2 linked regions of the Coturnix japonica genome follow. The protein of the gene in region 1 purifies or fractionates together with the protein of each later gene. This does not show direct contact. Links are inferred from orthologs where the notes say so. Each region holds a gene or a part of one and is shown on either strand. Other genes may lie near its edges.

Region 1 (15,993 bases):
GAAACCGGAGCTAACCAACATGGCCAACTGCTCAGCACTGCATGGCAGGACATGCAGACAGACTCCAAATGAATCTCCTGCAACAACTCATCACTACCCACAGCAAAGCACTCGGCTGTGCTGCTCCACAAGCACTGCACTGTTCCACAAGCACAGTACAACGCAGGCTGCATGCTGGCACCGATTAAAGGGTAACAAAAAAGATTACAGACAAAGGGCTGCAGCACACCACAGGGCCATGCACTGCATCACAGGACATGCTGCTCTTTCTGCACAAGCTGGGTAGGCCCTAATATGGCACGGCTGCTCCCCAGCCCCAAGCACCAAATACGGCACGGGCTGAGGAGAAGCCGGATCCAGCTGGGAGAGGGTCCAAATTCCCGGTTCAGCTCATAGGCTGGCACTCAGCACACAGAGCTGAGCACAGTTTTCTGTAAATGAGCAGGACTCCAGTTCACTGCTCCTCCTGAGCTCCAGAAACGAGCCTGTCTGCTTCAGGGCAGGGGACAGCTCTGAATGCCAGCCATCCCCCAGGCTCATCCTGGAAAGGGTGCAGGGGCAGCATCCACAGGGGTGTCCCAGAGGGTAAGGCAGACAATGGGGGAGAACAGAGTGGAGGAAGAGCACAGGATGGATATGAGTAAGGAAGTGTCTGGAATGAGAGGAAAATATGAAGTCCGAGTTCTCAGCAATTAGACCTAAACCCAGCTACTCTCTGAAATGGAGGCTCCTGCATTCATTTAGATGGCAACATTTATTTATGTCATTTCCCCCCTGCTAAGGTTTTGTGGATCATCTTTCAAACTCATGCTATATTCCACAGTTGCTCAGTTACAGATCTGAACAAACCATTCCCTGCAGTCTGCCAAATGCAGAGAAAGAGAGCAAATGAATGCCTGGAGGATGAATCACCCTCTGGAAGTCATCTTATGGCCCCACACTGCTACAGATTAGTCACAACCTCACATACAGTAGAGAGAAAGAGGAAATGGTGAATCCATTAACTCCCGGCAGCGCACAGCCCTATAACTGCTGTTCCCACCCCTCGCCCCCTCCCAGGGAAAACAGGCAATTTTCCAAATCATTAGAATTTTCTTTCAGATTAGAAGAAATATGTTCTTCAACTCAAAGGGATAAATTAGGTATTAACACCCCTGAAACTAGTGAGTTTGTTCCAGCAGGGTTTGGGATGGGAAGCAGGAGCTGCGATTTGAAATGGGCCGACTGCAGGGATCGCCGCAGCGGTTTCAAGAAAACCGCTATGAAGCAAAATGCTGTGAGTGGGTTGGAGGCTCCCAGCAGCAGGCGGGAGGTCTGACACAGCGGGGATGAACAAACTTCCGCTGGTACAAAAGAGATGACAGCACATACAGCCCCGCTCAAGCAGCAGCGCCCATCAGAACCCCCTTGGGTTCATCCAAGCCCTTAGCGGAGCCACTCAGCAGCCCTGAGCCCATTGCAAATCGGCCCCAAATCTGCAGAGCCTCAGCTCTGATGTGCCTCAGTTCCTGAGTGCAGCTCAGCACATGCCCTCCACCAGCACTGCTAATGCCAAATGTTGCCGCTCTTCCAGGGACAAAATAGCAGATGGGATTGCTGCTGCCAAGCTTTTGTCTCGTGAAACCTTGGATTTCATCGATTGCAGACAGTTCAAAACAAACAAATGTTTGCTGGATGGTCAGGGACAGCCCTCGTTCTTGGCCAAGGCACAGACAAGCATCACAAACATGAGTTTCGCAGTTCATCAAGGCCCAGCTCTCAGCTGAGCCTACAGGAACTACAGCAAAGCCGCTACTTCTGTAACAAGCTTTTTTAAATGTAATTCCATTCAGAGTTCTCAACTATTCACCCAACCATTAGTTGATGCTCTATATAAAGCAGCACGTCCTGTATTTTACAGCAGAAAGCACAAGGAGGAGATGGGAATTTTCATGAGCAAATCACTTCAAGCTTTCAACAGGAGCAAATCAAGCAGCACCAGCAAAGAAAAAGCAGCTGAAAACACAAAGCTGTACAGGTTGCTCATTGATGGTACAGCGGGAAAAACTGGAATGTTCAACTTCCCAGGCTTTGTTTTGGTAATATGTAAGAAAGGGATCTTTTCCAAAACACAGCAGCAAATGCCCACAGTGCTCCAGCAATCAGATTACAATGCCAGGTGGCTGTATTCTTAATGCAAACCAACTGTTATCGATCAAAATAGAAGGAGTTTGGTTTCCATGGGTGTACCTTGCTTACCTCAACAACCACAGGTTTGTCCAACTACACAGCAGAGACAGCAATTCTGGTCTCTCCTTCCATTTCAAGTAAGCAGCTGTTAGAATATGTCCAAGTAATAACAGCCACAAAAGCCACAAGTTCGCTCGTGTGTTACCTGTTTTCCATCAGGATGTTCAAAACTGACAATGAGCTCCCCAACAACTTGTACTTTATTGCACATTTACATGCAGACAGACGGAATTACGGTCAGCCTATCAGGGTCAGTTTGGGAGAACAAAACAAAAAGAAATCACACGTGTATTTTACACGCTACCTCCTTTTGTTTGAACAGATGGCTGGATGTAACGTTAAGGTCCTTCCTTTTCAACATGGATCGATATAACCACTGAATATTTGGCAGGAGGAAGCTGCAGAGATGTGCCCATGGCCATAGAAGTATTGCTGCTGACCATTGTCATCTATCATGGAAAGGCCTAGTCAAGCAGGTGTTGCTCTGTATGCACAGAAGACTGAATCCCAGCCTACCACTGGCTTGTTACTACTCAATCCCAACCATTTCTTTCCTTCCCCTTTGTTCCAATACAGTAAATGAGCATAGCAGTGCAGCAACACAGTAGGTAAAATGCTGTCAATAAACCCGATAATTATCTTGTATGTCTGTCTGTAGGCTATACTGCTTTTTTTTTTTTTTTTTTTCCAGTGGGAAAAATAATTATTTCTCCTTCACTTTTGAATATACACTGTTAAAGTGTTAAAACAGTATGGATCAAGTATCACGTATCCCATTCACTGTTATGTATGTAGGTGAATTAACCAAAGCAGAACAACCACCCTGAGTGATCACAGATACTGCACACTGCAGTCAAGCAATACATTCAAATAAGCTGCACAAATATTGCAGCCTGGGCACGTATCGCCGCCGTTGCAGAATATGCCCCACTTCATCTTAATGAGAAATGAGGCCGCTCAAGATTTCATTTGCATGCTTCTTTTGGAGACAGCTTCTAAGCCTATCCAGGAGCCCTAGAGTTTGTGTCATGGAACAAAGTCAATACACGATCCTTAAAGGCAAAGAACAGTAACAAGAGCTACTGCCACCCTACAGAGAAATGAACAGTCACGTACAGCTCACTGCTTTCTCTCCAGGCATTCCTTTGTCATCTCCAAAGAATATTTTATGTTAACCAATGATTTGGTTAACATGCTTCCTTTGTCTTCTCCTCCCCATAAGAACAGAACAAAACACTGTTTGCAACACCCTTCTGAAGCATTCAATGCTGATGATACCTTTGCATTGGCTTGCTTATCACAGTACACTTGGACATTCTGACAGCTACATAACACTCCTACCAAGCATCTGCTTTTGATATAAGCTACATTTGCTGCTTTCTGAAGAGCACAACTTCAAGTCATCACACACAACAGAAAAAGGTGTTAGGAAACTAAAGAAAGGCAGGCTATATTTTGATGAAGCCCAAGTAGTATGAGAGAAAAAAGTAGGACCCCAGTTGTACTGATGCTCTTTGCCTTTGTAAGCTTTCCACCCATCCCCTTAAAACATACACAACAAAGAAGGCCTTGGCATTAACTGTGATGTACTGATGCATGCTTTTAGAATCTCAGGACAGCCACAGTCTACTTACACACTTTTACGTTATTACAGAAATAAATAATGCATAACATAATCATGCCCCTGCATTCTGAGGGACTTAAATACAAGTCTACCATCACCAATACTGCATAACCATCTAATTTGAAAGTAGCTTTGGACAGCAGCCAGTTTCATATCTAACCAAACAGTGAGCTGTAAATCTAACTGGCATCTCAAAAGCAACTCAAAAGTACTAAGCAAAGCAGACAAGCTCTTTTTCAAGCTAACCTTCCAAGCCACGTTGTCCTACAAATCATCAGGATGCCAATAAGTGAATTCCCGTACAGCAACCTTGGCTCAGGCAGGTTGGCAGCCCTATATTAGCATCCCCACAGACAAAGGCTCACAGGATGATTTCTTAGCTGAACACAGCCTATAGAAACAACTCTTTATCACTTCACCTCCTAGAGGAGACAAATAACAACCGAAAGCATCAACATACAACATGATGTAGTATTTCACTGAGAGTCAGGAGCTAATTCATGTAACTTGAGATAAAAAAACAATGCATTTCTAAACCATAACGTTCAGTAAGGTTTGAAATCAATTTCATTTCACAAAAATAAGCATGGAAGTGAAATAACCAGCAGGTTCACCTGGGGAGACAATTTCTACTTCAGTCTATGTGTCTCAAATGGAAACAACAGAAAAAATGTGGCACAATTACCCTGAGAGGTACAAGATGCAAACCAGCATGTGAACAGATAGGACAAATCTGGGGTAAAGTCTACAGTTCTCCAAGGACTCCAACTGAAGGGTTTGATGAGATGGAGCCTCAGTGCAATGGCAGGACAGCCCCCACTACCACCAGGATGATCCGAATGGCAGATATTGTGTACACACAGGTGGGTTTGCAAAACAGGGTCCAGCTCTAAGGATGGCACGTACACTCATCAAAGGGATAAAACTGTGGGGGTTACAGGTAGGAAATTCTGCCACAATCACAGATAAAGGAGCACAAGGGAGAAGCTGGCCGGAAAGTTGTGCAAGATCTGACAGTTGCAGCAGAAAAGCCTGTACTTTCAACAGCCTCTATTAGGAAGTTCCCACGCTCAGAGCCCATTTACCTATGGAATGAACAGGGCCGCGATATGGGATGCTTCATAACATTAAACAAATTAAAGTATATCCAAATTTACAACACCAAGCAAGACAGGAAATTTTGCTGTGTGTCTGTGCATGACATGGCTTTATGCTATTGATGTCTCTAGATGTAGCGGAGAGGAACAGAACAAGATTTAAGGAGACTGCAATGTCTGTATTCTAAAAAGGCTGCATGAAGTCCAAGTTGAGAAGCAAGAAAAAGAAAGCACCCCTCTTCCTGGCAGCAATTCCCCTGCCTTCCCCAGGAACAATACAATGTAACCTAAGGTGCAACCTCTTCAAACTGCACCTTGCTATATGGCAAGTCCTGTATGCAAAATGCCTCCCAACGTGCTTGGGAAAAGCAAGAAGTTATATAAACAGCAAAGATAAACTCCTCCTGTGACAACATGCTTCATGCATCTGCCGAAGGTTTACAAGTTCTAATGAAGACCAGATTCCTCCCCAGCATCACAGGGAAGCAAGAGGAGCAATGTTCTGCCTTGTGTTGTACAACTATAGAGACCTCAGATTGTTCCCAGAATTGTTTGCCTCCCAGGTTTTGACTTAATTACAACAGGACATGCACACACAAAGCAAAGAATGAATCATTGCTCATCCTGCTATTTTCTTTTTTCTTTTTGGTTTTTGCTTTTTTTTTGTTGTTCCCAAATCTCTTCGAGCCTCTGAGATGTTGTTGTAGCTCTAAAAGAACAAGCAGCAGCTGCCTTCCAGACATTTCCCACCTGAAGGACTAAATTCATGAGGCCCACAGCCAACCAAGGTGTCACCTGTGACTGAGCCACCCTGGCACTGCCCCACATTCAGGCTCCAGCTCAGTGAGGTCACACCAGTCTCCTCACCTTCCCCATGTTGTCTCATCCCACCTACCAATGGGTTTGCTGATTTTCTTCTCCCTTTGGCAAAACCCTATTGCTCCTTCTTCCCAGGACTGTTTCTGACTCCCTTATCTTTTGTGTAGCAACTCTACTTCCAAGGGCTCACGATGCCAACACATTTGTTCCTTCCAGTATTTGCACTGCCAGAATCAAGTCAGTTCCAAGTAGCATTAACCAGAGAACCACAGAACCATTTGAGTTGGAAGGGACCTCTAAGGGTCATCTAATCCAACTCCCTTGCAATGAACAGGGAGGTTCAGCCTGCATTTGGTTAGTAAGAGCACAAACATTTAATTCAAAACAATTCACCTCCTCTGCTTATGCTTATTTTGCTTTTATGATGTTAAACAGAGTCCATCCGACACACAGGATGCAGGAAGTGAGGGCGTTCACAGGTTCAGCTGAATTGATACAAATCCATTTGCGTTTACTTTCCCTTTGACACAGTGTATTTTGATGTTACTTCAAATCCACATCCAACCCACACCAGCAACACCAAAGACCGACAGCACATGGATCACATTGACCAAATACAACCACACACGTCTACATTTTAAGCAGCATCAGATCCTTTGCAAACAAGGCAAGGCCTACATCAGCTCAAAAGCAGCGCATGGTTTGCCTGCATAGAAACAGTCACCAAAATAACCGGAGCAGGAGCAGCCAAGTGAGTCCCACGGGATGCGCTATATGGGCAATGAGCGGCCCCCCATAGGGAGCACTAAGAGGGTGCCTGCAGGTCCGGACAAGGCACAACCACCCCCAGCATGGGCTGTGCTTGAGGCAGCGATGATTTTGTATAAGAAAAACGCGTGTTGTCAGGGCCCCAAGCTCAGGGCTCAGGCCCGTCCCTCCCCGCCGTCCTCACCTCCTTCAGCTGCTCCATCTCGGCACGGATGGTCTCATACTCCAGCTCCAGCTCCTCGTATTGCTGCTTCAGCTGCTGCTTCTCCTCCAGCACAGCCAACCCATATTCCGCCGCTTGAATCTTCTCTCGTGTGGTCTCACCCAGCTCTTGGAAAAGCCTCTTGATCTCATTCCTCAGCCACTCGGGTTCCGACTCCATCACCAGCCGGGCGTACTCCTCCTCCTCCATACCCAGCGACATGTCGGCGGTGCTGGGGGGCACCGCAGCCGGAAAGGCGAATCGAGCGGCCCCCTTACCCCGCTCACTAACAACGCCTCGGCCCGATCCCGGCCACGGTCCCCCCTGTGGCGGCCATCCACGGTGTGAGCGCTGCGGAGCCGCCCCTCGCACGACGCCGCCACCGCCGCCAAACTCGCCTTGTGAGCGCCGACCGCAGTGAAATCATTCAAAGGGAACGGCCGGCCCGGCGTCGCGATGCACGCTGGGAGATGTAGTCCGGATGGTGATGCCACCCCGCTGGGAGAGCAGCTCGCAGGACTACGTTACCCATAATGCACCGCCCGCGGGGTGGGGAGGTGGGGTAGAGAGGAGCGGAGCAGAGCGGCCTCTGCAGGGCTCGGAGCGGCCGCGCCCTGTTGGGCTGCGACTGGAGCGGGGGGCTGAAGGCCTCACATCACCCCTCTACATTCATAATAAACACTGGGTTTTTCTTCTGCCTCGTATATTCTCAGCCCTCATTGTGCTCAGGCTTTACGCTGTAAATCAGGACTCAAATCAAATCAGGACTCAAATCAGGACCCAGCTTTTTGTCCTTCCTCAGAAGCTGTAATTTGCTTGTAACAACTCATTCTTATCCAACCTAAACCTCTCCTGGTGCAACCTGAGGCTATTTCCCCTCATCACCAGTGAAAAGTAAAGCCAAGGTTTGGCAGTAGGTTTCACTCTTTGCTATTGTTCTAAACTGCTCAAGACATCCAGCATTAACTGTAAATATCACTGTTACAAAATTATTTCTGACCAGCCCAGGAAGAAGAGCAGGTTGTCAAAGCGGAGGCTCTTGTGATCATTCAAGGTAATGATGTAGCGTAACAAAAATCTGTAATGACTGAATGAGCACAGCCCGGCCTGTGCCCATGGCCTCCTCTGGGTGCAGCCAGAGGTCACAGCCTATTTCATTATCAGTTATATTCATTATCAGTTCACTGTCTCTAAATTCCATCAGTGCAAAGATGCCGATGAAGGAAGGCTGTGCAGGAGGTAGGGAAGAATGGGAATAACATCTCAGGTTGTTTCCTGAGGTGGGTGATGATCACAGACAATCATACAAGGCTGGTCACAATTCAGCCTGTCCACAAGCTTTGTGTATGGACTAGTAACAAATTACCATTATCTCCTAATTCTTCCCATTTTCTATTTATGAAAAAAAATGACTTTAGCAAAAAAAGAAAATACTCTGGGACATGGATCAATGTTCATATGTGGTGCAGTGATGACCTTTCTTAACCAAAAGACATTTCAAAACAAGAACCTGAAAGTGACTGAAAGCTTCAGATATTCACTGGCAGCTGATAAGCTGAGAAGCAGGTGAACTGCTGGCAGAAAGCTGCCGGAGGGAATGTGTGCATGCAGGGAACAAGCAGAGGAATTACAGATGCTTATCGCAAAATGGAATTCTTAGGATGTCTCAGCATAAGGAGAAAAAAATGCGACTTAGCTTTCAAGATTTGATAGAATTCCTTGGCTGGGTGTGGGGAGCACAGCACACACACACTGCCTGCTGCCTGACCCAAGTGTTGAGATGCCCAGGCCTATCAGTGCTGGACTTTTGCTGGGAGCTGAAGAGGAGGGATGGATGGAGGGTCCAAGTAACGACATGTCTGGCACACCATCTGCCAGGTGTAGCAGGGACCAGATGCTCAGTTTACTTCCTTATTCTGCCATGATGGAACAAGCCTGAGAGGAAGGGAGATTTTTTTCCCCAAAATGTTTCACTTTTTCTTCTTTTACTGCAAGCCTGAACCACCCCTCACAACCACCTACAGCTTCTCATGACCATGAGGCGTAGCTCTTACTTTACCAGGCCTGTAGGTCTGTGCCTACATCAGCCCAAACAGCTACTCTATCTCTTCCCAACTCACCTGTGGGAAAGGACCATGTTTGTGTTTCACCTCACTGCCTGTCTGGAGGAAAACCTTCCCTTTTAAACCACGTCTGTATGCCTGATTGACAAGCAGTAAATGAGCTGCCATTGCTCCGTCTCTCTTGATGAAGTAAACACACCTGTGTCTGGATTTAAGCCAAACCCATTTTCTTTAAGATAAATCATCCAGGCACATGTTTAAACTGAAGCAAAACAAGAATCCACTCAGTCATGTACTGGTATAACTACAACAGAAAAAAACCAACACTGCAGTGCTATTTCTCTTTTCCCCTCCATCTTCATGTTGTAACTTGAGAGGGTCTCAGGTTCTGGTGGTCGCTCATGAAGGAGAAATACTGTATGCAGTATGGACTTGGCTGGCATAGATTTGCTTTTCTATGCATAAGAAATATTTCTACTTCTACCAGCATGAGAAAAGACATTTGTGTATATCTCATAAGCTCTGGAAGGAGACAAGCACAGATGGATCTTGCTTTTGGCTGCAGTCAGAAGCGGCAGAACCTTCATCACATTTAGCTGAATTACACCAAATTTATGTACCATGTGTAAAATCAGTGTGTTGGCCCCAGAGTGGATGCAGTGATAACACCAATGGGTCACAGCAGATTTGGTGCTGCTGAAGAACACCTAGGCCACCCCTGCCTTGTGCCCCAGCTCTGGTATAGGCACCTCTCTCTCCATCATTTTTCCTCAAGTGCTTATCTAGGAAAAAGAGCTAGGAAGCATTTCTGCAATCAAGTCATTTCTTCACTGCTAGAATATCTTCCTGGCAATGCCAGTTTTCCTGACACAGAGCAAGTCTCAGATTACTGCCCCAGAGCCCAGGGATTGCATCAGATCTGCTTCCAATTCAAGACAAGGCTCACGTGAAAGTCACTTTCAACTCTTTCTCTCTACTAAGTGAACACACTTCTGTGCACCTCGGGTCTCAGACCGAACTCGATCTATTGTGAATGACTTAGTGTCATTCAGTGGCACACACACCTTAAAGCAGAGCACTTTCCCCCTGTTATCAAAGCCATACTCTAAGTTACATCTCCTGCTGAGACAAGCTGCACTGCACTGCTAGGTAGATAAGCAAGGTGCAAAATGACTGCAGTTCCTTCTCTACTCATTTTTCTTCTTTTTCCTAAACACAGCATTCCTCCTTACCAAATCTCTAGGTCAGATAAAGGAAAAAAATCTGTGGACTTAATTGCATTAATTAAAAACCTCATCAACTAAATAATTCACAGAAAGTCTGAGCTCATTGCCGCTTTCTTCTAGGACGTTATATAAGCATCAATTACAAGAAGATCAAGTTTAAATAAAAATCAGAAGTTATTTCCTTTTGGACAGAGGAAGCAGCTTCTTGGTGGAGGCAGGCAGAGATCACAGCACGCATGGAAATAGCTGCAGCACAGGCAGCTCCCTGACTGCATCACAAAGAAGACAGGGTGTGATCCAGCACTAAATTAACCAATGCTTTCAGCACAGAGCTAAGAGTTATGGAACAGGCAGGTAGGTGTTTCAGTTATGAAATGCTGCTTCCACTGATGTATTTTAGGAATTCACTGACATCTGCTCTCTCTCTCTATATTTTTTTTTCCCATTAATTTCTAATAGCTGGAATTCCAGAAGAGCTGTTTGAAATATAACTAACATGTTTTATCCAAGCAATATGTGTTATTATGGACAATTTCTGCACCTGCTAATTGAGACAGGGTCCAAATGTTTGGAAATATTATCATGTGGATTGAATATTGTAAATAGTAGGTTCCTATTTGATACGTATGGTTAGAAATAAATAGATTTGTACCTTAGCCTTTGGGGGTTTTTTATGTCTATTTACGGATAATAATATACGGATATATGCGTCTGAATTACAAACTGCCTGCTGGGTATCTGCAGAACAGAGGCCCGTTATGAAGCAAACTCACAGTATTATACAGGTAATGACACTCTATGTAGCACAAATGGAATGAATGCTAATGGTTCTATACTTGAACAGAATAGCAGCTGTTCTTATAGGTGGTAATGAATTCAAATGGTAATCCCAGCCCATCTTTACAGAGAAGTCTGCTAGCGAAGTGTTACTGTAAATGAAAATCCACATCACATCTGATGCCCAGAATGTAACATTCTCCTGATTCCATTTAAGCCTAGTGACACATAAACATCTCATGTGTGTTCCAGATCTGTCAGTAATTATGCTTGAAAAAAGATACACCCTCTTAGTTCAGGGAAAATAGCTGCACTGTGGTCTTGAAGTCATTGTGGCCATTAGCTTTTAAGAGCACATCATTTATTGGTATCTCATCGATGTATTTTGCTCTTGCACCTCCTGCTTCATTCCAGTCTCCCTGAGCTCTCCTTGCATTCCCAGCCTTCCCTGCTCAGCCCAAGTTCAGACTAAAGAAAGCAGGGTCTCGACCAGCAGTATCTGTCTCAGACCCCAGCAATGACTGAGAAAACCGCAGGCCAACTTCTGCTAACAGTCGTTCATTTGTATCACTTCAAAGATCCTTATTCACAGGAGTAAAATTCCTTCCCTAAGTTGTCTGCAGGATCATGCTTCGTGATAGGAGCCAGCGTGGCTGGAGAAGTGTTTTATATTGCTTTACTATTTTTAGTCCAGTAAAGAAGGGGATACTCTCTTCGAGTGCAACATAACCAGATAAAAGCACATTAAGTCAACTTCATCGTGGCATATAACTTACAGCTAATCTGGCCAAAAGGAAATTGTATAACCTGGTGTGCATTCTTCTATTACATAGCAGGGGCAAATGAAGTGTCACTGCTGGACTGACTTTTTATTGTTTTGGTGCTGACTCTGCGCTCTTCAGAGCACATCCTGTATGTTTTTTATATGGTACATATTTGTAAGGGTTATGCTTCCCTAAGAGCATGAAAGAATCCCTCCGGCCATATAGGAAATTTGTTTTTGAGAGTGGCCAGTAAGTAGATTTTGTCTGTGGTGGAAAATGTGAGTCAGACCCATGTAAAAAAGCACAGAAAACAAACTGCTGAAAGGAATGCTCAACATTTGTGTAACAGCCTTCAGATATGGTTCACAAAACTATGCAAGGATAATCTTAATATTTGATGTAGATAACTACTATTTATATAGCTCGATATCTCTGTGGTAGCCACGTAACAACTATAAACTATAACACCTTTCACACAGAAGTATGCATCAATTTCTGTAGCTGGCTCTGTATGCTGGGTGCTTTATGTGTTGAGTTTCCACCCTAATGCTGGATGTCCAGTCAATGGCAGCCAACAATCTAGAGTAAACCCAGCAAATGTAGACACACGTACCTGTAATGTACTGGGTATGTGGAATGCACTTGGAGGTTGGCAGGTAGTCACAACTCACTCAGCTAGAGGAGGTCCACAAATCACGATTTCCTCTTCTCATCTCTACAATACACTTTCTTGTTTCAGAAATGAAAATCAAGTTTTGTTTTGTTAAGGTCTCACATGATAAATCCTCTGTTCTCTGCACTAGTTGGATGATGATTCTCTGGAGAAGAACAGGTGTCTCCTTTCCCTTCTGCACAGCGTAGCATGCCCCGCTTTTGCACCCACCATGTATATGGTCTGGCCTAAAGAACTGAGCAGTAACTCAAGGTGCTTCCCACCAACAGCTCACTTGTTTGGACACTGCATCCTGGTTATCTGAGGGGAAACCTGGCCAAACCCACAGCCCTGCTATGATTTGTGCTGGGTGCCTGAAGCCTGTTCAGAAAGATTTCTAAAGGAGAGGAAGAAATCAGACCTCGTGCAGTACCTTTGAAAACCTCTCCCTAAAGGCATAACTCAAAAAGCCATTAATGGGGCAGAGAGTTTTCATTATTCGAAGCATGTTTATTGCATCTCTTTCCCCTGAGGAAAATAGCACCTGCTGTGAAATGGAAGGCAGTTAATGGATTGCAGCAGCGGGAACTAAATATATTTCCTTCTCTTCCATAAGTACCAAAGAAAGAAGAAAATGATCAGAACAGGCACTGCCCACAGAGGCAAAATGCTGCTCCAATTCCTTCGACAATGCATCAGTTTTACAGCTTCTAACAGAGCTTTGCATGTCGCCAAGTGCAGATGTTGTGCCCTGGGAGAATTATTCCTCTCTAAGTAATGCTGGCCAAAAGAAAACCCCAAACTGCTGCATGCAAAAATTGGTGCAGCGGCTGAGGACTTTGACAGGCAGAGGCTCCTGGGGGCACAGGCTGCCCATCCTGCCTATCCCACAAGGGGCAGGGCAGGCTGGAAGGGTACATCTATAGAGACTGCCCAGCATCCCACTGGAAACAAGGCTGCTCCCAGCACTAGGTCAGGTCTTCCATAACTCAACCCCCCGTACCCTATGCCTCTCTGAGTAGTATCTCCCACAATAACCTCCTTTCTGTTGCTATACCATGATAACAGACCATCTGCACCCCACAGACAGTATGTTTCACGTCTTCCCCTTGCACTGTGTAGAAAGCTGCCAGCCCACCACCCCTGTCTGGCCCCTAAGGTAAGCAAATCCCACAGCTGTGCGCAGCAGTCAAACTCTACCCATCAACAAAGAGGCATTCCAGGCTGGACGCTCACACCTAACTTTGCTTTAACAGCTCTTGCTAGCCAGTTCCTCTGCCTATTAACCTAAGAGAAATGAGCAAACAGAATAAATTTTCCTGAGCATGGCTCTCTCCTACTGGTCCCTCCTCAAAGCCTCAGATATTGTACAGTTCACTCACCCTCCCCTTTGTCTCTGTTTCCATCTGAAGGAGGAAAAGACGTGGTTTCTGCCCTTCTATTACCAAGTTCCTATGTTTGATGATTATTTTTATTTGTTTGTTTTCCTTGATATTCTATCAGGTTTTTTTCTTATCTCTTCCTCAGGTCTGAGGAAACAAAGTTTTGGTAGCTTAGCTGGGATCAGCCAGCATGAATAGCCCTGTCCTTAGTCCTTCAGGCTCTTCCCAGGCCCTTGTGTTACCAGCTTTTTCCCTTGTCTTTTGTTTCTGCACAGTCTCCCTTGAAAAATGGCAAACAGTGTGAATAGTATCAGGTAGGTAAAATGAGGCCCATACAATTTCCATATCTTGCTTTCCACAACCTCTTTCCAGCAGAAGAAAGCCAGGATATCCCTTAACGGAGCTGCACAGCTGTGGTTATTATCCTCACACTGCAACACAAGCAAAGCAAACAGAAGTAATGCTTAAGTGGCAATGCAAGAAGGAAACTGGAGACTGGATTCCTCACCACAGCCACAGGGAAGTAAGGCAAAGCCAGGAGGGTTCCTACTTTTAGAACATTCATAGAATTTTTTTAACAAACCAGTACATACAGGAACTGTAGTTAGAGATTCCGAATTCCTATGCTGGCTTCTGAATTCTGTATGCTGGCTTACAAGATAATGACCAGTTTGCAGGGAGAGATGCTTGCATTTATTGCCTTTGGAAAAGAGCTGAGTCTGTGCTAGCTCTGTGCTGCTAGGTTTGCACATCACCAGAACAGATTTTTCTGTGCCAGCTTGGACAGAACCAAAACTTCCACTTTCCCCTAAGATTGAGAAAAGAAAGAATGAAAGAATGGAAATCTTTTCCATGGCTTTTCCTCCCAGTTCTGCAGCAGGCTCTAGATAAAGTGCCATTTCCCAGTGAGAACTGAGGTGAGAAATAAGAAAGTCAATTAAAAGATTGAGATTTCTGTGGTGCCATGAAGGAATCGTAATGAAACTTTGTACCTTGGCCTCCTCTTCCCCTGGCTTCAAAAGCCTGCGCTCTACTAAATTATTTACAGCTTATGTAAACTAAGAATGAGTGGAACCAGAGTGTTTTGAGAAACAGATGCTGAGGTTGCCCTTTACTCCTTCTCTGCTCCTGGCAGATATATTATGTTCACAGCGAGGTGATCCTGTGGAACTATACTTGTGGGGTTGAATTTCTCTCCTGTTCAGCTTTCTTCTGCCATTCCCTCACACTCTTTGCCTTTCCTTCCTCTTATGTGAGCACCATCCAGTAAACCTTGAGCAGTCCCTGCCCCACCTTGAGATGAAACACTAACATCTGACCACAGCCTCCTTTACTAGAGCTTTGTCATCAAAGCTCTTTGTTCAGTTCCTGCCCTCATTCTTTCTCCTGCATGTTTACATTCCTCATGTTCCCACTTCAAGCGCTTCACCGCATGACCCCTGCTTTGTGACCATACCTAGGCTACATAAATATTTCAGAACACACCTTTTTTTACAGGTTTTCAGTCTCCCTGTCACTGGTTCAGCAGGAGCAGTTGTGCAGGCAGTGTTACACACAACAGCATGCCTTCCTGCTGGACCACCACAGCACCATAAGAGTTTTAAATCAATCCTCAGTGCTTTTTAGAGCACAGGAGAACTAAACCACATGCAGTCAGACTTTTCACATTGTGCCTATGAATGAGGTCATGTTTTCAAGGCTTCTACACTCCTGGATGGTGGCTGTCCCTCCCTGCGACACAACAGCTGCTTCCCACTCTTCACTCTGTCTTCTCTTTTCATTACAGTAGGAAAAGAGTGGGGGAAAAAACCACTGTATTGCACTCAATATGATAGAGATGCTCACAGAGCAACTGCAGTTTCTGTCTCTCCCACATCAGGGTCATCCAAAATATGGGAATTTGCAAAAACAAAAGTCCGAGAGGACAGATCCTGGTGTTGCACACTCAGACATGGGAAGCTGAGGTAGCCCAGAGAGACTCAACACCACCAAGGAAATGCAGGTGAAAAGACGGAGACAAAGCAACATGGAAGTGGGACAACATGAGCTGTGAATTACAGCTGCTTTGGAACAGAGATGCCTCCACACCTACTCTGTTGAAAGCAAGAAAGCCGTGTGTCACAGCAAATGGGTTTAATCATATGCTAAAGTGCCAACTGATTCCTCCAAGTATTTAGCTCCCGTGAGTGCAGGACACTTTATGGCAAAACTGATGTTAATCTCCACCAGCTGTGATGAGGACCAGCCCTTTTTGCCAGTGCACCCCAAGACTTCAAAGTGTTCTGCTAATATCTTTGACTTACTGCTTAACGCTCCTCTCTCAGACCACTGCATCTGTCCTGCTGATAACTATGGAAATAGTAGCTTAGAACAAGAGCTGCCTTAGATTG
Region 2 (15,444 bases), on another chromosome or scaffold:
TGCTTGACCTCCAAAGAGATGGAGTTAAACAATCAAATTAAAACCAATGGTATTTGAAGCCTGAAGCTGGAGTACAAGTTAGAATCATTTATTCCAAGTGTCTGGAGGACTGATTCATACCACAATAATGAGTGAACAGAAAAGACAGTGAAGGTACAGAAATTTAGATAAAAAACACAGACCAGAAACATTAATTTTGCTGTTGAAATGTAGTTTCTCAAAAAGCACAACAGACTGCAGACTGGAACACCAAAAGAGAGGAGCTCAAGAACGAGAAGACAAAGGGGAGGGACAAGGAAGGAAGCTGATGCACATGCCAGTAAGGAAAGAATTGAGCAGGGACACAAAAGTAGGTAGTCTATTGGAAGGCACACAAGCCCTCTGACTCAACTAGTCCTTGCTGGTGGTTATGCAGTGGTTCCACTACCAGTCTGCTCATCTCTGTTTGATTATGGCACTCACCATCATTTCTTAGCATTAGGCAAGAAAGAGAGAAGCATGGAAGGGGACTGTTACTGTTATTTCAACCAGTCTTTCAGTTAGCTGCCCATCTGAGCATGGTTTCGATATTAGAAAAACTCAGTCATTAGTATCTACCATCAATGGAAGGGTAAAAGAGATGTGAAGGTTGGAAAAACTAACACACATTATCTCCTTAACTGGACTGTTATTTAACTCTCTCAGTAGCAAATGTGCCATTTTCTAAGCATCAGCTAAAACCAGCTTGCTATAAAACTATGCTTTAACAGTTCCAAGCTACCTCCTGTCCCTTGACACAATATCTAAAAATTCCCACTCCACACAGCAATTGCTGTAATAATAACAATACTTACATTTCATTATTTAACCTCATGCTATTCGCTCATGAGGATTAGTGCTTAATTAATTAGCAACACTTAGCATTTCCACTTAGCACTTTACCTCTTCAAAGCATTGTACAGACAGTAACTAACTGGGGGCAGAGCTCCACAGACATTTCCCATCAGGACTTTCCTTTGACAGCTCTGCATCCCAGACTTGCTTATGTGGTATAGCATGAATTCAAATTGAAAGTCCTATTGACTTCATCAGGACCCAGGTAATGCCCTGGCTATCAAGAGGCCATCTTTACAAATTACATTTTTGTTTTCCTAGTGCTTCTGGTTGCTCACGGTTCACCCAAGGATCTAATTATAGGCTAATATGATGATAAAGGGAACCTTTTATTAGTATTATCTACAGACCTTCATTCTTCAATAAACATCTTACTTTCAGTCCCCTGGTTGAACTGTGTTGGGATGGAAAATGTGTTAACTGCAAAAACAGATTATAAAATGTCAATCCAGAGTTTTTAAGGGAGACAGGGCTTTCAATCCATCAGTCAAATGCCTGCTATGAAAGTGCCTTTCTTGTAAGCACCCCAGGGTGCTACACCACATCAACAGGCAATATAAACACAGAGCTTTTATGGTTCACTTTTCAATTGGACATTGATTCTGAACGTGTGAAACAGAAAGGAATTGAATTTCAGGATGAAAGAGGATAATGTGCACAGGATTAGGTAGACATCACTGGTAGGAGCCAGAAAGTGATACAGCTTTGGATGCTGAAAGAGGGATTAGCTTTACAAATAAGAAACCAAGGGGATAATAATAATAAAGACATCTGAGTAAACTCTCCTAAACCAACCATATCACTCATTTTTTCATATTAACATGCTATTTTTTTCAGGTAATCAAAAATGTTGAGGGGTTTGTTCAATATCCAGTGATGGGCTGGCTCCTGACTGTGGGAATGGAACAAAGAGAGCACTAAATATGTACTCACTCCAGCCAAGAGATAATATGGAAAGAAATTTCTGCAGTAGTCTAATTGGAAGAAAAGGAAAACATTACATTTCACAAACTTGTTCAGAGCCTCAGAGTAGTTCTGAACAACACAGAGACTAGCAGTGCAGCAGCCTAGAGCTGCTGTTGCTGCTCAGATCTGCTCCAGGAGAAACCAATGGAGCCAGTACAGCAATACTGTTTCCAGCTCACAGCAGTGCTGTGTTGTGTCACACGCACATCCCTGCCCCCATCGGTTAGGTCAAGTAGCTTTCTCAGGAAGTCCCTCTTGCCAGATGAGGTATTAAAAATTTAAATTGCTTGGTTCTTTGAAAACTGACTGTATTGAACAGCATCTGACCTAACTGTTTTGGCAATGAAGTATTCCACAAGGATTACCATGTACTGCTAACTGCAGTGTCTTTGTGTCCAAAATATGCTGTGTTAGTGCTGCCACTAACTTCCAAAAACCCAGGCATTCAAAATAAAAACCCAAGCCTTCTCATTCCTTAATACAATTTCCTTTATGCTGCAGAAGGATGAGACCCTTAGTGAGATATTCAGCCTCAAGCTGAGTGTCTGATACTTATGCCAAACTTTTCTGGACGTGTATATTTAGAATGCAGGTATTTCAGTACCTTCATTTCATTTTCCACCCAGTACCCACAAATTCTTTTCCTCTTACTTAACTTCAGCTTCAACCATCTGATACTCCCTTGCCACCAGTGCCACTGACCAGCACTCTCTTCTCTGAGACACCAGACTCACCAGCCTGAGCCAGCTCTCTATCACTGAGTTATCCCACAGCACTCTCTAACACTACCTAGGACTGACCCCAAACTCATCCCAACCTGCCCACGACCACCCTCCATTGTCAGTTCTGCATTAGGTTAAGGCTGGATCCACTGCTGTTTATGGAGAGAATCAGGTAAATCATGCACCCCTCCTCCTACCAAGTATGCAATGCTCAGAAACTGCAATACTCAAACAAAACTGTCAGCTGTGGTCATTGCTCATCATGCAAAGATACCTATTAATTAGCGTACACATCAGATCAAGCTATTAACAAATGCATTATGAAGCTACACAGAGGCTAATTCAAGCTATTATCTAGGTAACTGTGCTTCTATTTCCAGAACAAGGCGGCCACATGATTCCTTCTGATCACTTCTGTGTTTACATTTGCTGTGCATCTGTCTCAGCATCTCCAAGCCCTGATGAGTTTGAGGAACACACGCTGAGATATTTCCTGACTGGGGTCAATTTCCAGCACTGGAGCTCTGTCGGATACAGCTCAAGATGTGAACCAAACGCAGACACAAATAAATGATGAAGACAGAAGTCCGGTGCTTGGAATGTAGTTCTCTGCTCTGATGTAGGACAAAAATAACTGTTTAGATGACTTAAATGTTAGATATTTTACTTCTCCTATTCCACTCAGCCCGCACAATGAGGCTGGTCTACTTAAACTGTCATGCAGTTTGCGGTGACTCTGTCATTAGTCTATATTTATACATAGATGGAGTGTGGGTATTCAAAGCTCCGCAGGCCTGTGTGCTCTTTTCCACTGTTCACAGTGTTGTCCCTGTAAGAGGTGACATAGACACATCCACAGAGCAGTCAGCAACAAAAGTCACGAATGTACAAGCATGTATTTCCTCCCTGCTCCCAGCCATTGGTGTCTAATGTCACTGGGATGAGTTATACTTTCTGGCTACCACAGCCTCCTACAGCAATAATTTTCTTGAAGGATATTGACTGCACTGTAGTACATGTACCTCCCTGTTGCTTCATCAGAAGAAAGCGTTCCTGCTGTTGTACTGTCACAGTGCACAGTATTAGCCTCGCAATTCAGCCTGCACAAGGAGCGCTAGATGAATTCTGTGATGACTGCCACTACGATCCATTCTATTCTCCTTTCCTAGTGAAATTGCTCAACACTGGGGTTAATACTGAAGTGCAAGCCAGATGAAACTACCTTTATAGGGTAGGCTCCATGGCAAAGATGGCTGACGTAGTTGCACTGGGTGTTCATTTCACTTTAACACTACGCCTTTTCTAAGAACAGCCTTTCAGTGAATTGATTTCAAGTGAAACATTTCTGACAATGGCATTTTCACAAGTAGCATTACCCATCACATCCCAGCTCGTTTTCCTCACCTTTGTGGTCCACAGCTTCACTGTCCAGTCAAATGATGACGTGACAAAGAGATGGGAAAAGTCAATTGAGCCCACTGCCATGTGGCAATTGATTCCTGTGACAGGTCCTTGGTGGCCTTCAAAAATTTCACCAATGCCAGCTTTGCTGCAGGAGGAAGAGACATCTACATTCAGAATGTGAGTAACGTGGTGTTTTAACATCATTTTCTTTTCCTCTTAGAATCCTGTTTTCTTTTAAAGCTCCATTTAACCTGCAAAGCAGTCTCCCTTCAGCAAGGCCTTTGCCTGCAGCAGCTCACTGCTCTGGGCACTCTTAGTGCTCAGGATCCAGCACTGAGAGACAGCTCTTTTTCCTTCTGAAGACACGCATTACTGACTTCTATATACACTGTCTACTACTATAGCTTGAAATAACATGTATGTATAATTATAAAGTAATTAGAAATTATAATTACACTACATCTTATACATCTGAGTACACTATTATTACGAGGAATAACCATTAAAATAAAAATGCAAAGATGCTAATGACATATCATTTGCAATTCTTCTTTGCTCGAATATTTAAAATAACTCTGCACAGCAGTCAGTCATGTCCCTGGGAAGAAAATCCTTCTTCACAAAATGTGAAGGGACTGCTCACATGATGGGGTATCAAAGTCATTATTGTGAGCATGGGAAGGTGTGCATATCGTCAGAGTGAGGCTAGAATAGGAAGGAAAAGCACAAATCTGGGTAAGAAAGAAAGCGGGCAGCTTTGCTCATCCTGTAAGCAAATGATGCCAAATCTGTTGTCCTTCTCTTGTGAGGAACAAACCAGGCACATCTGAAAGATCAGATGTGAGAAATGCCCTTGGGCGTGCTCCATTTATCCCAGCAGCCAAAAACTAATTCAGACCAGCAGCCACAACCTATCAGGATAATGCCTAAACAGACACAGCACTGCAATACTGTCAGCAGGGTAAAGTAAAAAATACTTTTAAATAAAAATAATTCTGAAGAAAATGTATGTAAAACTGTGACTATACAATATGAAGAATGTGTAATAGAAGTCTTACAATCTTAAACCACTGCTAAACCACTGCCAGTGTGTATTTGGTCCCTGAAACAAGGGCTGTGGTAACATATGAATCTGAAGACCACTGAAGTGGGAGGTCAGCTTTAGATCTATCAGTGAAATAGCCTGCTCTTTACAGAAGCCACTCAAGCATCCCAGAGGATGAAACTGCTACCAGAAGCTGAGAGCACGCAAGCACCCTGCAGATCACTGTAGCAAACACAAGGAATTGATCTCTGCAGAGGCCTGTGGTGAGAGCTCCTTGTTTTTGACTGCAGCCTTAGAAAGTTTACAGGGTGCAAAATCAGGAACTTGTTTAAATTATGGAACTGAATTTGCACTTTCCTAGCTTTAGAAGTGGAGAAATCAGTGTTTAGCCATACAGCACTCAGACCCTTGTTGTGCTTTCTTTTCTTTGCTATCTGCTTGTAGAGACTGAAGATGAAGCTGAAAATGGTAAAGAAAATAAAGCAGATTACCCTTTCTTCCAAGTGGCTTACGTCTGACTACCCCGCAACAAAGGTTTCTCCTAGGGCCTGGTACAACCTGCCCCAACACAGAAATCTACACCTCAGCCAGCACTTGAGGCTTCCCTTAGAATCAGGGCGGAGAAAGAGGCATTTCCAGGATGCCAGTCATCCCTTCTTGAAGTGGAAAAGGCAAGAGAAGTCACACCTTCCAGCAGTTACTGCTCCCTGCTGACTGCACAGGGAGGTTGGCCAAGCACTGCAGTGCATGGCAGTAACACACACGCATGAAGCTGGGCAGTTCCCACCCTAGTCCCGTCCCAGCACAGATCCTGCTCATCCAAGGGACAAAAAGCTAAGCACACTCCACACACGTGGCTACCTCATGCCAATACAGATGATGTTACAGAAGTACATAAAGCTTAAAGTCACCTTCCATGACGACAGGCTGTGTAGACTGTTCCCTCTTCACTGCCAACAACGAAGTTATTGACATCTCCAGTTGGGAAAGCCATTCCTGTAACTGCCACTGGTTTGGACTTGTTGTACACCAGCTCCATGCTCTCCTGTCGAAATAGATCTTTGTTATTACTCTGTAGCTGTCCTTTTGTTTGGCTTGTTTGTGGATGTTGTTTTTGTTTTGCTGATTCATTTCTAAATGTTATACAGAGTACCAAGAAAGGAAGGAGGAATCATCTGATCCAGTCACAGGATTTAGGGTTCTGTTTTGGGCAATGGAAGAAGATGCAATGTCACAATCAGGATGCACGGCTCCTGCCATCCCTGATGCTGTGTCAGACACTTCAGAGTGGCTGCAACATCATCTTTAATCAGGCAGAGATGACAGGTGAGAATTTAAAATCTAATGGCGCAGAAACTAAAGATAACACCTTAATGGCTATACTTGCCAGCCCCAGGCTCTAATAAAAAATACCCTTCTACTTACAAACATTGTCTAAAATCAGTTGTTTGTCAGGAAACACATGTAATATCACATGCACCTGAGGCGTCTATCAGACAGTGACATTTGTCCCTCTGCAGAACAACATTCAGAAGTCAGTGTCATATCATTCTTGCTATCCTAAACATTGTTTTTCAGAGATTTTCTGAACTAATCATAAATATTTTCTCTGGATCCCACCATCGAGCTACAAACCAGCAAGCAGATTTTCATCTTCTAGCCATATTTCAAAGTAAATCAGCATACTCGTTTTTGTACATCTCGAATACAACCAGCGTGAGCAGCCTGTGGCGGCTACATGATGCGTATGCTGCTACACGACGCATATGCTTTAAGCAGATTTTGCACAACTCTAACCTTTTTGGTTGTGCAGCCTAAATGGTGTAACCCAAGAATCCCACAAAAGGCCTGAATGATTTAGTAATTTTCATTTTCAGCTCTTTAAGTGTGTGTGCTTTCTACATTTAAATGCCCAGGCTGCTATTCTTCTCGAGCTAAAGATTACAGCATTTTTATCAGGAGGGATTTTTGCTGTAGCTGAAGAAAGTGAGCGTCCCTATGGGAGGAGAGGGCTGCAAATCCATAGAGAAATACTTCTGCTTGATTTATATTTTTCTTTCACATATATTTGCTTCTATTAACAAGGAAAAATAAGACCTGGAAAATGCATTGGCAGAGCACCTGTGGACCATATATTTCTACAAAAATCTTCAGGGGTGAGATCATTGTTTAGTGTCCTTAGATATGGCCAGATACTGTGGCAGAATCTCCTTCAAAGCCTACACCATGGCTGTATATGAGTGCTCTGGATCTGTGTCTTTGGAAAGTTTCAAGCTAATGCAAATCAGCAATACTGCTCTGCTCAGTTTAAAGCTATGGCGTGTAGCTTGACATCAAGCCCCGTGTCCTTTTCAAGATAACTGTGAGCCATACACTGAATTTCAGTGTGACATGGGATGCATTCCCATCCTTGTTGAAAGTCAGTTTTGAATCTGGGAAATTCCATCTGAATGATGAAATTCTGGAACTGAAATGTTCACAAATATCTGCTGGAAAATTCAGTATTCCACTAAGTAAACACACAAGGATTTATCTTCCCTACATTTAAGTGAAAAATAGGGCAAAGGATTCAGGTTCCTAAACACAGATGTCTGGGCCATTTTAGATGCCTCTTCTTCATTTCCAGAACTGCAGCAGTTTTTCATAGTCCCCAGACACAACTACCAGACCCATAATGTATATGAGGAGCATGAAGAACACAATCAAACTTTGAAGTTGGCCTCACTATCAGTAAGAGGTTAGATGGGATGAGTTCCAGAAGTAGCTTACATCCTAAGATGTAAGTCCAGTGCCGTACCCTAGAATATCTAAAGTGGTATCTCATGCTGGGATGGATTGAGTTGTCCTCTAGAAGTGCTGGTCTCTCTCTAAATTAACTGTAAAAGGAACTCAAATGATCAGCTTGGACTTGACAGGGACCTTTAGATGGCTAAGGAGGGGAGGAGTCCCACATCTTGTGTCAACACTGAAAAGCAAATAACTCAAGAGTAATTGCACATTAATGCATTATTAATGGATAATTAAAGGAATCATTAAAAGCAGTTCCTATTCAGCATTTTCATGATCAGATCCTATGATGTTTAATAAAACAGTGATATGCTGGAACAGGAAATATACAAATGTACTACTCTGAAAGATAACACTTTCCATAGGGCCTCCTCAGCACCAGATTCTTTGTTTAGTTTCCATTATTATAATCACAAGTGGTTTGGACAATTTTCTTGGACTTCCTTTCAGTCCTGATACAAAGGGGGGTAGGAGGGGGAAGGGAAAACAATAGCAACAAACATTCCAGAGCGGGAAAAGGGGGGGGGGGGAGTTAGCTCTAAAACATTTGATTTGCATTGTGTTTTTTTTCCTTTTAAATACTGGAAGCAGGCAACAAAGTGAGCTTTCAGACTTTGTGCCTTGGAAACCCATAGTGCCTAGGGTGTGTTCAGTGGCAGTGCAATCTAGTCCATATTTGTTAAACAACACTGTAGAGTAAGTACAATTTATACCACAGGCAACTTCTGTAATTACCATGCTTTAAAATGGATTATTTCATTTTCACTTGAAACTGACCTATGTATTAACGTATTATAATAATTATATGATTTGTGGTAAAGGAAATGGGTTTTGGCTCTTAGCAGAGACTGCTGGAAGCAAGCTGTATTCTTTCAAGTGCATCCACTGGTTTTAGTTTGTATAAGATGTGAGGTTTTGGCTTTTAGGAGCTATGTTCCATTAAGCAGGTATCCATCCTCCTTTGCTGAAGGTGATTTTCTCTTGTATAGGTAAAAACAAACCCACCTGTGGAGTTGAGAGCATGTCCAGGCTCCAGGAGCACATTTTGCCATCCGTGGAGACAGTGATGAGATTGTGTGCATTCTGTGTTCCAACTACATTGACACAATACACCGGATGCTGCAAACACATTAACACTGGAAGTCAGAGAGACATTCTCACATCCTCAAAACACATTTCTAACATCTCGTATCTTATTGTAAAGAATGATTAAGTAGTCACATAATGTCTGGAAAATACAGGACCAGGCTTTTGCCATGTAGGACTTCAACTTCTTTTTTTAATTTCAATTCTAAGAGGCGTGTTATGGACATGGAAGTGTTTTTAATGTTTCATTTTCCTCATCATAAAACAACTCAGCTGGGTAATGCTGTGAAAATGCTGAATTATGTGGATGGGATTTCACCCACAGGGACATGTATCATTCTACTGATGGCTTTCAGCACTGAAAATAACTGGCAGAAAGAGGCAAACCATCCAAATGGAATCAAAATGAAAACTTTATTGAAGAAAACAGCTGTGTAAAACTTGAACTCTCCCAGAATTTGGCTTGCATGCTAAATATTTGCAAATGTACTTCAACAGAAAAATGAAAACTAGTCTGTCATTGTTCTCTGGTATTGGACAATATACCTTTTTAGATCTGTCACTAGAATTGTGGAGTGACTAAATTCAGGGTGTTACACCTGATTCCTCATAGCGTGGTCAGTCAAAGGCTGAATTCCACTTAGCATGCAGTAATCAAATTCAGTCTGCTCATTTTCCAAGAAACCTGCTAACATTTTCAGCCTGAAGTGTCATCTGATATGTGATGGTGACATATGAGGGTGGTTCAAGTTCAGCAGTCTCCACAGTGAATGATCAATCAGACCGAGCAATGAGATTTAATTTTCTTTGACCACTACAAGTAATAATGCTTAATTAGAATAAGACATACACACAAGTCAACCAAAGACAAACTGTAATTCCCTGCCTGTTGTACAGATGAGACTTGTGTCTCTAAGAAGAAAACATGCTTTTCCCAAATAATTTCCTTATTCACTGAAAATCAGGACAAAGCTTAGAAGAGATGTCTTACAGTTTCTAATCCAATTCCACATAGGGTTAGAAACCTGCCGTTTTCTCCTACTGAAATGAATGACAGAAACGGCAGTTATTTAGATTCCCTGACGATCCAGCTGCAGTTCAGCTATGTAGTGAGCAGTGAAAGGCAGAGCTGGCACTGTCTAGCTCTCAGGTTTGACACCACAGCAGGCCCAATAAATGCCCCTGGCTCTAATTGCAAGCAGGGTGGAATTTGAACACACAGTGTTTGCACACTGCACCAAAGATGGACTTATTAGCAATTGCTCCCAAAATGGTGCTTTTGCTTAGAGGCCACCTGTACTAAGGGCACTAAATTGCAAGGTCTCCTCTAGTGTTGATTTCTCTCTATCTCAAGACTGTCATATGAACTGTTTCCCCCCGCCATCATCAAATGGAAATCAGATAATGTGCGGGACCCCAGTCTATCCCTAACATGTTTCTCATGCTATTACCCTCCTACAATGAACCTTCATGCTCCTCAGTGGTGAACTAATTACCACATTGCTAAATATGATTAGCACATAATGATGTGCAAAATAAACACAGTCCTATTTTTTAATGGGTGTTTGACCTCCAGAAGGCCAAAGGGATGAGGACAGAGGTGACAGGGAGCTAATGCAGCCAGTGGAGTGGCTACAATATTTAGGGGGAAGGGAGAGAGGCAGCCACGTCCTTCCAGCAGCACCTCTGTGTGCCAGGTCTGGCTTTAATCAGGGTTGCCAACCATCAATTTCATGCACGATAAAATTCACAGCAAAAATGAAAAGGAAAAAGGAAAATGGATGGAAAAGACAACCAACTGTATGCAACAGAAAGTCTTAACAGGCTCCTTCCTCTCAAAGAGTTGCTGCCAGCTTGTTTTTATTTATTTTGGAAATGAAATCATCATGCAAAAGGGTTTTGTCTTAATTAAAATTTCCTGTTGTCCCAAGTGCAGATGTGCGGTGGGTGTGAAAGGAAATTAGTGAATAAGCTGTGGGTAGAACTGTCTTTCCTGGTGAATCCAAGCAGCAATCAGTGAGACTAAACTTAAGGAAGGTTTAAGTTGGTGATGACAACATACTTTCTTTGTTTCAAATAAACAGAGTGAGGGAACAAAAAGAGAAAAATCCTTTTTTTTTCCCCACATATGGCATAAGTTCAAATTAAAACTGGCAATTCAACTCACTTAACTAGCAGTGCACAAATATTGCCACACTAGAGTTAACTTAAACCTTTCAAGCCAGCCTTTTGCAGCCAAGACTTCATTTACGGTTTAGGTAAGTGATTCATAAATATGAACAAAAATAAGTAGTCTTTTATTGTAAAATCTGATCACTCCTTAAAAACACAATGCTTCCTCATGCTGGACTGTACAAACACTTATTTATACCAATCTGCAACAGCACATAAAGTGCACATCCACAACAGAAAGTCATTTATTTTTATTTGTCAAAACTTCATATATTGTTCTATATAATAATACTATTTTAATATATAATTCCAGGAGGTACAATTTTGTCTTAGACATTTTTGAATGTAAACAAATTACTTCCCATTAATCTTTTCTTTTCCACTAGATTTTGAGTCCCAGTTGTTCAATTTGCAGCGATAGTTTCTTGCCATTAGTTTTCTGGTCTACTACATCTCTAAATTGCACTTCCAGGAGAGACTGTTCCCTTTCATGCAGATTGAACACCGCTACTGGTGATAAAATGAGCAAAAAAAACATTAGGGAAATGGAAAGCAATGTTGAAGTTGCAACCCATGGCACAGATCATTAAATTATTACATCAACATTCATGATAGTGGAAATTTATGGAACAATATTTGTACTGCCTGGCCTGCTAAGCATGTCTGTGCACACCTGTCATTTCTTAATATGAGAGACATGCCTTCATAACACTGGACCTGCACTGAATCTTTAATTCATATGACGTGGCTTTTAAACATTGCCTCTTAACTCCAGGGATTATGTTGTCTCAGCTGAACCTTGATCTGCAAATTACAAATATAAGAATCACAGAACTGCAGATGCTGGATGTACAAATGGCCAATCACATTGTCTGATCCCTCTTTCTGATAGAACAAGATTACTAACTTTCAGACTGCTTTGTGTAGTTCACTCTCTTATGTTTGAGGAAATCCTGCAGATTTTTCTGTACTTTTATTTTATTACATCTTTCTCCTCTTTTAAGCATCTGTTTTCCACTTCCCACACAGAAATGGCCCCAAGCTCAGCCCCAAGACAACTTACCCTTACAACCCACAGAGTAAACCTTCCAGCTTGTATGAAGAGGCTCTCTGAGCCTAAACTCTCCAGGAGGAGAGCTCAAGGATGCTCAGCATCTCAGAGCAGAGTGGGGCTAAGGTCAGCCCTACTACAGATTGTAGGCAATATAGGCTTATCTCTTCCTCTAGCACAATATGGGTACTTTGCAGTGTACGAACATCTTCTACCACAGACATTATCTTTGGAGTATGGAGAAACTCAAATATTTTGTACTGCTCTGCCTGTTTATCTCCTAGACATCACCAGAGCCCTTTGTGCAATCATCATTATATCTGCAGGTACCTTTGTGTGTCATCAAAATGCATTTCCATAGCATTCTGTTGAAACAAACTCCTCCTCACTCTACAAGCTGTGCTCTATGGTCTTGTCTGGAGTAGGAGGCCAGAAAAGGGATTTAAAAATTTCTCTGCTGTAAAACAGAAGCAGTTGCCCCACACTTTTAAAAGCACAAGTGTCTACTTAGCAGAATTCTGCTAGATCACTGCAGGTGCTTAATCTGTTTCAAGAGACAAACTCTTGCACAAGTAGTCAACAATCGATGATTCAAATTGCCTGCATGTTTGACTGACAGACACGTAGTCCCTACAGTAACCTGACTCTCTCTAAAGGCAACAGAGAGCAAGAATCACATAGGTGACTCATTTGAGTGTTTTAGCTGCTCCTGTCGTCTTCATCATAAAGGAGGACAACCTCCTGACCTGCCCATATGAAGTGTAACGGCTTAACACAGGAGGTGGTTGTACACCTCTGTCACTTGCTTCTTTCTTTTCAAGGGCCGTGCTTATGTTTTATCCATTTAACAACCAGCACTGCAGACAGGACTAGGCAGCTTCACTTATCTGCTGACTATTTCCTCTAAGGAAAGGAAGAGGCGACTTTTGTCCTTACCGTGTGAGCAGCAGCAGACAAGGGAGTTCTCTGAACAGGAGTTCGTCTGTGGCTGCGATTATCCCACAAGACAATTTGGCCAGAATATGTTCCACCAACAACCAGGTTTGGGTGAAAGCGGGCAAAACAGACAGACATCACAGAGGACTGGAGTAAAACAGGTAGAGAAGAGGAGAGAGGGGTTATTTTCATCAGTCATGTTCAGTTCTCCTTCTGCTGCAGTTATCATTTTGAATTTTAGATGGGTGTGACCATTATTCACATTCCTTAAATATCAGTAGTATTCTGCTAAAGCCAATAGGAGCCAATTCTGATCCTAAAATGAGTAATTCCTTTGGTCCTAAGGAAAATATGAACCATAAGATAAGTCTTAGAACAATGCTAAGTACCTCTCCATGACAGTGATGTGAAAGTGATAAATTTCCTTTTCAATAATGAGGACTTCAAGCAACCAATTATCAATCCAACTAGCTCACTATCCCCAGCAGGGATACTGCTTCCCATATTGCTCTTCTAACACATAACTCTCCAATAATTTCAGATGAGTTTGTGAGAGGCCATCCAAAGTGCGCCTCTAGGTGTGCTGCCTTGAGAACACTGCCTGATGAGCAGCGTCTTGTTGAATCAATGACTGAGTTCTCTGCTACAGAAAGATCTTTTGCTAGTAACAGAGGGACTCACACTTTCCTTTACACAGTTTCAGCAGAAGCAGTTCTTCATCTCTGTAATGACAGCTGGGTTGTGTTTGTACATTTTCTTTAAACCGGGAATGCTGAGGAGCCAGACTGGTATAACACTTGCCTTGGCCATCTGGGAGACTACTCCACAGGACAGCATGGAGAGTGTCTGCCCCAGTTGCCTCCTTCAAGTCTCTTTAAAATACCATACAACATCTGAAGTCCTCAAGGGAACAATCTCCAGAACCTTTAACTGCCAATGAGCTACAGCCAAGAGCAACAATCTGTTACTCCTTCAAGGTCCCCCATTCTCTTTTCAAGGAATTCTTTCCCATTTTTATTCAATTGATCCTGGATGTCTTCTCTGTTTCATGCAAATTGGAAAGTAAAAGTTACAGTATTTGCATAATTTCCTGAGAGTTCACATATTAAAAAAGGCAGTTTGCAAACAGAAGCAAATGTCGTTTTTCCATAGCTGTTTCAGTGATGCTTACAAGCCACAGAGTGAGATTTTAACTTCTATTGCAATTGCAGAAAGTTAACTTCTCTGTTAATGGGCACATTTTTAAAATCTCATTTTCCAATCATTTCCAACCAGCTTTGGTAACAAATCTTTATTGTATTTTAATGACTGGACCTTTTGAAATGGTGATACGCCTATACGTGAATCCATTTAATAGAGTGACAAAGGGTTAACTATATTAATATATTTCAGCTGCATAAAAAAATACTGCAGGCATTTAAGTAAACTTTGTTGAACTGAGAATACAGGAGCTGGCAAACTGAACTAGACCCAGTGTCTGCTTAGCTGAGGATTCTGTCTCTGGCAGAGGTGGCTGGAGTTATAAAAACTTTGACGTGGGCAGATGTGTGGTCATCTTGCCTTACTATGCCTTGTCATGATTTCTAGCAGCTAGAGACTGGTTTCAGCTCATACACCAGAGATTTAATAACTTTTCCAATAGGATTGGAATTAATTATGCCAACTCTTGATGTTTCTAACTAGGTTAATAAGAATACAGGAAAATGTGCTGTTTAAATAGCTTTTACTGAATTCATGTGGCTGACTGATATCCGTTGTTTCAAGCCAGATTTTTTTTTTCTTTCTAAAATAACCTAGTAGAAATACATCATACAGCAATGTATTCAACCCTGTATTTTTGACTCAATGAGGCCAAAAATAATAGAACTGCCAGGATGATGAAATAAGTTGCTACTACCTTTTTCTTTCCTATTCTCTCTGAATTTTCAGGGGTATTCATTTGGTATCTCCAATCCCTTTCTCTAGTAAAGCTTTTCATACATTTGTCCGATGTTATGTAGACTAATGTCTAGTGACCAGATGATTCATATATATAATTGTTTATTTCAGCCCTTATCTATCTAAGCACTTAAGAACAGTAATCATACTATGGTCATAAGAATGCTAGTTCCCAAGCATCATTTCCAAAGGACGTATTTTATAGATAAGAAAAAAACACCTTTGAGTAACAGTATTTTGGAACTGCTTAAAAGTGATCTAAAACTCAACTACAACGCTGCTGCCATCCAGTTTCCACAGATCCCCCATACATTATAATTAAAATGACCCTACAGCACATGTTCTACATTTTATCTCTTTGCTTAATGGCTTCATGAGTTGTTTTAATCAACCCTGCTCATTCCTTATAACTAAGCTGACAGATATTCTTACATGAAGTCAAATACCCATATGATTCTAAAATA

The links.
Region 2: the proteins of BICD2 (region 1) and DYNC1I1 purify together in Homo sapiens (affinity purification with western blotting; 4 studies listed by BioGRID and IntAct, with this or other methods). This does not show direct contact. The link is inferred for Coturnix japonica from reciprocal best matches to the Homo sapiens genes BICD2 and DYNC1I1.

What each region holds. Positions count from the first base shown.
Region 1 is NC_029527.1:4,888,377-4,904,369, forward strand, and holds the start of BICD2 (protein bicaudal D homolog 2), read right to left. Parts: upstream 6,962-15,993; coding exon 6,722-6,961; intron 1-6,721. UniProt on the Homo sapiens protein: Acts as an adapter protein linking the dynein motor complex to various cargos and converts dynein from a non-processive to a highly processive motor in the presence of dynactin.
Region 2 is NC_029517.1:21,971,936-21,987,379, reverse strand, and holds part of DYNC1I1 (cytoplasmic dynein 1 intermediate chain 1), read right to left. Parts: intron 13,190-15,444; coding exon 13,043-13,189; intron 8,917-13,042; coding exon 8,803-8,916; intron 6,056-8,802; coding exon 5,922-6,055; intron 4,111-5,921; coding exon 3,966-4,110; intron 1-3,965. UniProt on the Homo sapiens protein: Acts as one of several non-catalytic accessory components of the cytoplasmic dynein 1 complex that are thought to be involved in linking dynein to cargos and to adapter proteins that regulate dynein function.